Oryzias latipes: one gene and its partner. The protein of the gene in region 2 interacts with the protein of the main gene of each other region in a biochemical or structural test. Links are inferred from orthologs where the notes say so. Each region holds a gene or a part of one and is shown on either strand. Other genes may lie near its edges. The genes, in order: mitogen-activated protein kinase 10 and mapk8ip3.

The links.
Region 1: the proteins of mapk8ip3 (region 2) and mitogen-activated protein kinase 10 form a complex in vitro, tested with the Homo sapiens proteins (3 studies listed by BioGRID, with this or other methods). The link is inferred for Oryzias latipes from reciprocal best matches to the Homo sapiens genes MAPK8IP3 and MAPK10.

The regions. Positions count from the first base shown.
Region 1 is NC_019870.2:10,343,216-10,347,042, reverse strand, and holds part of mitogen-activated protein kinase 10, read left to right. Parts: intron 1-483; coding exon 484-608; intron 609-2,048; coding exon 2,049-2,112; intron 2,113-2,213; coding exon 2,214-2,291; coding exon of another isoform or gene 2,292-2,308; exon of another isoform or gene 2,309-2,321; intron 2,322-3,827. UniProt on the Homo sapiens protein: Serine/threonine-protein kinase involved in various processes such as neuronal proliferation, differentiation, migration and programmed cell death.
Region 2 is NC_019866.2:14,602,511-14,606,337, reverse strand, and holds part of mapk8ip3 (C-Jun-amino-terminal kinase-interacting protein 3), read right to left. Parts: intron 2,924-3,827; coding exon 2,692-2,923; intron 2,577-2,691; coding exon 2,486-2,576; intron 2,184-2,485; coding exon 2,065-2,183; intron 635-2,064; coding exon 623-634; intron 1-622.

The DNA of each region.
Region 1 (3,827 bases), on a different chromosome or scaffold from region 2:
AGCAATGGTGAAACAGCAATCCGATAAAAACAACCCCAGAAACAGTTTAAAAGAAAACACAAAAATGGCACATATAATAAAAAAATAAGAAGAAAAGTAAAAAATAAAATAAAAAAAAAGCAAAAAGGTGAATGTTTTTTCTAGTAACTAAATATATATATATATATATATATATATATATATATATATATATTATTTATTTATTTATTTATAGTTACTAGAAAAATACACTAAATGTCAAAAAAAGAAAAAAAGAATCAAGTTTTTGCTTTAATTTTTATCAGGAATTAACAAAATATTAACAGATTATGATGTTTATTTGTAACGACCATTTTTGAAATCATACTCTGAGAGTACTAAAATATCATTCACCTCATTAGTGTTCTTTAATGTTTCCTGGGTTCAAAAGGCTGATTTTTCCCTGATGTCATTGAATGCGGTGAATATCAACTGTGCTTCATTGGTTTATATTTGCACCCACAGCCAGCCAGGCCAGAGACCTGCTGTCTAAGATGCTGATCATTGACCCTGCTAAACGAATATCAGTGGACGAGGCCTTACAGCACCCCTACATCAACGTGTGGTACGATCCGGCTGAAGTGGAGGCGGTGAGTCAGCTGTTTGTCTGTGGTTGGTGCTCAGTTCTGTCTGTGATTGATTGGTCAGGACACTCTACATCTATAGAACATGGGCAGATTAACCATCAGTGTCTCCTGGAAAAACTAAAAAGTAGACAAAAATGATGACTGGCCCTTTAAATATTTTTCAATCGTATTATTTGTTCTTTTTAATTTTTTTATTTTACATTTATCTTTAGTCAGTGATGTCGTTTTGGCATTTTCTTGTAAGGAACTGTCTTTTTAGTGTTACTTTAATGGTGGCCTTGAAGTGCAAGTCATTTGAACTTTAGTCTTAAAATCCAAAACAAACAACTTTAACACCACTTCGTTTGTAAAATGCCAATTAGGCCAATAATCAAGCATGGTGGTGGAGGGGTAATAATTTGAGCTAATTTGGTATAAGGTTTTTGTTTATTTACAGACATTTACTGCTTCCTAGAATTCACTATGGCTGCAATTTTCTACTTAAAATAAATGATCGCTGCTAATTTCTGCTAATTTATATGACATTTAAGGACATCTTGTTTTATTATGAGATCGTTAATTGACTGCTGTTGTATATAAATACTGCCTTATTGCTGAATGCATATGCAGATAAGAGGAGGAGAAACCCTTTTTTTTGCGTCTGATCTCTGCTGGCTGCTTGTAAAGGGAATAATAGCTAACTTATTCTTTAAAAAAAAAAAAAAAGCCACTCAGTTCTTTCAGAAGAACTTTTCTAGGTCGTATCTGCTCAGTTTGTGGGTTGAGTGAAAAAGAGAGGAGGATCATTGGGCTGAATGTGAGCCAGGATCATTATGAAACAGAGATAAAAGAGATTGAGTTGATGCCAGACAACATATCTGTGCTCTGGTCAATGAAATCATGTGGAAGAAGGATTGAGGCACTTTAACAACAATTTGTTCCTGACTGTGAAAAGCTTTAAATGACAAAAGATACATCTGTTAACATATTTTCTTTCATTTTTCCTTGACATTTAACTAAGTAAGTAAATATAAAAATGTAAGAAAGTTGTTTAATACAATCCAAATATTTAGGATTGAATACGATAAATTTCTCTTCTCTTTTAGATTGTTTCCTATTATGCTGCTATGGGCTAAACTGTTCGTTCTTCTGTTGATTTGGTGTTTACTTTATAACCTTGCTTGTGAATATGTGGTCTTTTGTGCCAGAAAAATATTTTCAGACTCAGTCATACACCATAACACATTATTTCAAATAATTTCAAATTTCAAAAAGGAAAAAAAAACACATTGCTATGTTCACCTGGCCTTCAGATACTGCTTTATTCTTGCTCTTCAACTGTTGAACTTCAAGTTCTGTTGCACAGCAACCTAACCTTGTGCATTTTTGTGTTGAATATGATTTTGTACCTAGTTTTGATAGCTTGCATTGATGCTAAAATGGACTGTTCTATCTCTTCTTTAGCCTCCTCCTCAGATCTACGACAAACAGCTGGATGAGCGAGAACACTCCATTGAAGAATGGAAAGGTGAGAATGGTTGTTTTCGAGACTTTACTAACCAACAGAACTGTTTTGTTTTGGGGGGTGAATTCTCTGACCTATCCCCCTTAATCTGTGCACCTTGTCAGAACTAATCTACAAAGAGGTCATGAACTTTGAGGAGAGAACGAAGAATGGCGTTGTGAAGGGACAGCCTTCACCTTCAGGTACTCTCAGTGCATAAGCCTAATCGCTCTGTAAGTGAATTTACTATAAACTTATTGGAGTTTCCCCTTGTAAATAGAGAAACCCATTGTGCTCTTGATCGTGTGTGTGTGTCCTGCATCTCTAGTGAAATATCGTTTAGTTCAATGGCTGTACTTTGATGTGTTTGTGAAACTGACACTAAAAAACTTGCAACTGTTAATCAACCAAACAACTTCCTGTCACTGAGGATTTCATGGCACTTGTTTCATTTGTGACACTATGTGATTAAAATATGTTATAACTTAAGGTTTGGGTTCTGCAGTTCCAGTGAAGGTCAATGTAAAGGAGGTACAGCCACAAATTTGTACAATTTTTAGAACTGATGTTCACTTTATCTACCGCAGGGGGGCAGTAAAGAGCCACAAAGAGCAGGCAGACTTCCTCTACGGATTGGAAAAAGCAGAACAGCAATACTGCAAAAAAAAAAATGTAATCTTGTCATTTGAAAAAAATTTTTATAGACATATCGTCTGGAATGCTTCTTTTCTTTCCAAAACGTACAACCTTTATCCTTTTCCACCCTTCCATCCTCTTGTCTATAAGAGGACTGGCTGGACTTTTGCTTCTGAGGCTGAGCACATCAGACGCAGTGCAGGAGTTGCAGACACGGGCATTTCACTGCAGCAGAGAAGGAGAAGGGCTCTGAAATTGAGCCCATCCCCGTTCACTTTATGAAAATCTGCACTGCTGTTAGAGTCTTTGCAAGTCATCCCACAATTCCATTAAAGTGAAACACCGATCCTGGCATGTAAGCCTTTTGTGATTCTGTGTTTAGTCAGTTAAAGAGATAAATATTCCACTGAACTGTACACACACACACACAAAAAACATCAGCATTTGGATGTTTTTTTGCATTTAATCTGTCCTAAAAACTTTGTAATTAATGAAATTAATACAGTTGGTTAAAGTGTATCACTGAAGACCTTAACATTCATGTTGTTCTGCAAAAATACTCGTAAAAAACACATCATTTTTATGTAAGAAAAAATGAAAATGCCTTGATGCATTATAAAAAAAAAGAATATTTTCACAAAAACTCTATTTAACCTTTTGTTAGCGACTGATGAGACTAGATTTCAATGTCCTTTTCCCCTTTTTGTTCCACTGCATCCTGTGCGAGGACGACTACCAATGATCAAATAATGCAAATTATGAGAAATCTCAGGTTTAATAAGTGGATAGTAAACTTTTCTGGATCTTCTGGATTCCTTGCCCCAATATTTAAGGGAGCCACCCTGCACCCATGCACTGGTATCTTGGACCTTATCGTTTTGGATCATGACCCAAAGCTCATGACCATGCAGCTGAGGGCAGGGTCTTAGCTTGATCAGTAAATCTGGTTTGGTGAAGCCAGCAGAGGAGGATCATTTTCAATAAGCAGATATGAAATCCTTTGATCAACTTGTAAGTAGAGGTCATTCCCCAATGCCCCTTCTTGAAAAAGGGACCACCACCCCTTATTTTCCAGTCCAGAGACACTGTTCTCAACCCCCACA
Region 2 (3,827 bases):
AAATGCTACCTTTAGGATAAAACTTACATCCTTGGATACAAAAGTCTTTCAAAAATTGTCCAAAGAACAATGTCCAAGAAAACTTTAGGAAGCATAGGCTTTATTGTCTTTTCTGGATGATACACTTGTAGTTTACAAGTTTCAGGATCAGAATGAGTGACTAATAAACAGGTATATATATAACCCCCTGATGTCTGAATTCATTTCAAGCTATGAAATACTTTCATGTAGATGCTAAATTAAGATAATTTTGGAGCTGAAGTGGTTTGAGTCACATTTGCATCAATAGGCATCAATAGGGGGTAAAAAATCTAAAAAGAGGTGTATTTAAAGCATGATGCTGGTAAAACCTCTTTACCTTTTTATTGATTCTGTTTCTAATTTTTACAAATCTTGAAAGTGATTGACACATCTGGTTGCTTTTGAATTTTAAAGTATTAAACTCTTCATTGAACTATTTTTTTAATCAGGTTTACATTTTTCATACATTATTATAAAATGTAGTGTGTCTTTGTTTTCAGGTATTTTATAAATGGACTGTTTTCCTTCGGTTCGAAGAGAAGTAAAAGAGTAAAAGAGCTGAGGGAATAAAGAAAAGAATACCAATGCACAAGATACACACCTGAGAACTCCCCTATGGGTGTCACCGGCAGAAGCACATAAAAGGGAAAAAAGAAAAGAAATGGGTGAGAGGTTACCAGATGGACTGAAACCGGGTCAAATTTCCCTGTCTGCTCCATCTACGTAAAAAGTCAGGGATGGTATAACGAAGCTCAGAGCAACCTAAATTCAGAAACAGAAACTAAAATAAACAAAATTATTGGATCATTACAAACATAAAGCAAGAAAACAAATGTAGCCATGATGTGAAACTGCACTAAACGGACCATAAATGTTATAGTTATATGAAAAAAACCTTTTTAAAGTGTGAATCAAACTGCTGTAGAAATGTCATATCTGCTCCTCTAATCATGACTGTTTTTTTTTCTTGCATGACTTTGCAGTGATGCAGCCCTGCAGCCTTCCAGGCAAATAAAAAACAAGAGTGCAGTGAAGCATTCCCGAAGCCTCACATGAAGCTGTCTGCAGAAAAGGAAAAGCAAAAAGCTGCTTCTCAAATCAAATCAAATCAAACCTTATTTATAAAATAGCGCTTCTCATGCATTTTGTGCAGCTCGAAGCGCTTTAACATTAAAAACAGAACACACACAATATTACAGTAAAAACCCAACCCACCCTTTACCCTTCCCACTCCCCTCCGTTCAAACATATGACCCATGCCCCCCCCCCGTACAAAGAATAATGACTATGTAACTTTAGAAAAATAAATAAGTAAATAAATAAGCAAGCAAACAAACAAGTATGGCTTGGCTCTGCTGTGAGGAAACAGTATTTGGGAATCCTTTCATTCCAGGAGCCAGCTTGGCCATGGGAGCATCGCCACAGCACCCACCCAGACTGGGACAACACTGGGGTCCACGTCACAGCTGTGAAGCTGCAAAGTTAGACCCCAGCTGCCCCAGCAAGGGCAAGAACTGCAGCAACAACCACCGACCAAGCAGGCAAGCCCTGGAGGAAAAGATCCCCACAAGAAACACTGGGGCTAAAATCATGATAAGATACTAAAATTAGAGAGTTAAGATTTATATAAAAACATAAAATTGAGCATAAGATGCATAAAATGAAAATAAATACATAAAATAGCCTATACTAAAAGTAATAGAATAAAATATCAGTTAAAATCAACTTCTTCCTCTTTCGGCTTCTCCCATCAGGGGTCGCCACAGCGAACAAGTCGCATGGTAAACTTGGCAATGTTTTACGCCGGATGCCCTTCCTGACGCAACCTTCTCAAACCGGGCTTGGGACCGGCACAGAGGTAGAGAAGGGAAATCAGTTAAAATCAACTAAAAGCTAAATTAAAAACTGCAACACATGAATGCATCAGCCCTTATGCTCCACCACTTTGGCATGAAAAGTGTTTGAAATCACATGTCATATTTACACAAAATCATATTTTGAAGCTCATAAATGAGTTTGCCAGAGCCAAAGCCCTCCTCATACCCAGCAGTTCGGCGCCTGCATCCACATCCCCGATGATGTCCGATTTGGCGTCTTTGATCTCATGGTACAGGGAGTCAGTGTTGATGCCAAAAGCCTCGTTGACTATGCCCTGACAGGGACTGAAACACACAAAAATCTACTAATCTGCACTGCTGTTGTATCTTCCATCAAAATAAAAGTTTCTAGATTCTTCTAGTATTTGAAATGAATTAACATTTTTGGTCCTGATGGGAGCAAAAATCTACATTAGTGTTGAGGTTTTTTGAATAGGATAAAGGCAAAGCTTTTGGAGTTTGCAGAATCCATGATATTAACTTTGTTGTTATAATCTTAAGAAAATAATAATAATATATATAAAGATAGTAAAAGTGCTATAAAAGCTCTTAATGTACAAATAAAAAGACCACAACATAGTCCTAACCTGTTTCCTCCTCCATACACGGAGTGTTCCAGCTCTGGAGTGGAGTCAATGATTTCCTGAAACTCTGACCACTCGTCGCTGCTTCCCATACCTGGAATATCATAAATACATCACACAGCTTCCAATTTATGAAACATTTCAATAAATAATTAACAATGGAAGAGAAAAGCTCCATTTTCCTCTTATTTGGTTTAGCATTTGCTCACCAATGCTGACATTCCTGGTTTCCTGGGAAACCTGCACCTCCATGTTCCGACTTAAACGCTTGCCACTTTTCCTCCTGTTCCCAGCAGGCACCATGTCAAAATCAGACTGTAGCAGGAACCCTTCATTGATAGGGGTGACCGTGGCGGAGGGGACAGAGGAGGTGGGTGTGTTGGACTTGCTTCCTGTGCTGCTGGGTGTAGCTGCCACTGAGTCAGACTCAGATCCATCCTCCTTGATGAGTGGCGATGTGTGACACAAAGGGTAATAGATAAAAACCACAAAGAGAAAAGTGAGACCCAGACAAAGAAGCTGAGTATTTAGCTGCTGGTATGTTTGATATTTGACAATTTATCGTTTCATAATAAGTGGAAATTTAATTTGAGAGCACATCAAATGCAAAAAAGCTAGTGATTGGATTTATGGCTCTTTCTAGTGAGCCAAATCTTTTGTATCAGTTTCAAAGAGCCTTTCAAAAGACTGGCTTTTATAGTATTTATTCATTTTTTAGAAGTCTGCATGAAGTTTATTTGTTTAAACTTGGAAATAACCACAGGGAGGACTGATGGGCTTAGATCTGAATCAAAATAACTGAAATTTAGATTTTATTTAATGCAATTCTGTAATTTATGAACTCTGCTTCTGAACAGAAACTAGGTAATGCTGTGCAGCAAAAAGGTTAGAACATAAACCTACGCTTTTAAAGCATCAATACTTTCATTTTGATGTATAGAGAGGGCTTAACAGTTAAGCTCCTTGTTGAAAATGTTTCATATAAGACTTGGACATAAAAAGTGTTGAATGAAAGCTAAACCTTTTTTTACTATTTGATCTTAAAACTGACTGAGTAAAAAGTGTAATTAATAAAAATTAAAAATTATTTGTTATATGCTGAAGTCACTAACTGGGAGAAAAAAGGGTTTTGAATCTTTTAAGTCCTTTTTGATTCTTAAAATGATTTTTTAAAAATCATTGATATCTATTTACTTTTGTTTTCAAAATATCTTTATAAACTGCAAAATACAAATGTATGCTGTCATAAAATAAGTAAAAGCTTTAAAAATTGTAAGCACAAAAAAAGCAATAAATAATTCTACAAGTACCAAAAACTTTACAAGGAAAAAACATAAATATGGTC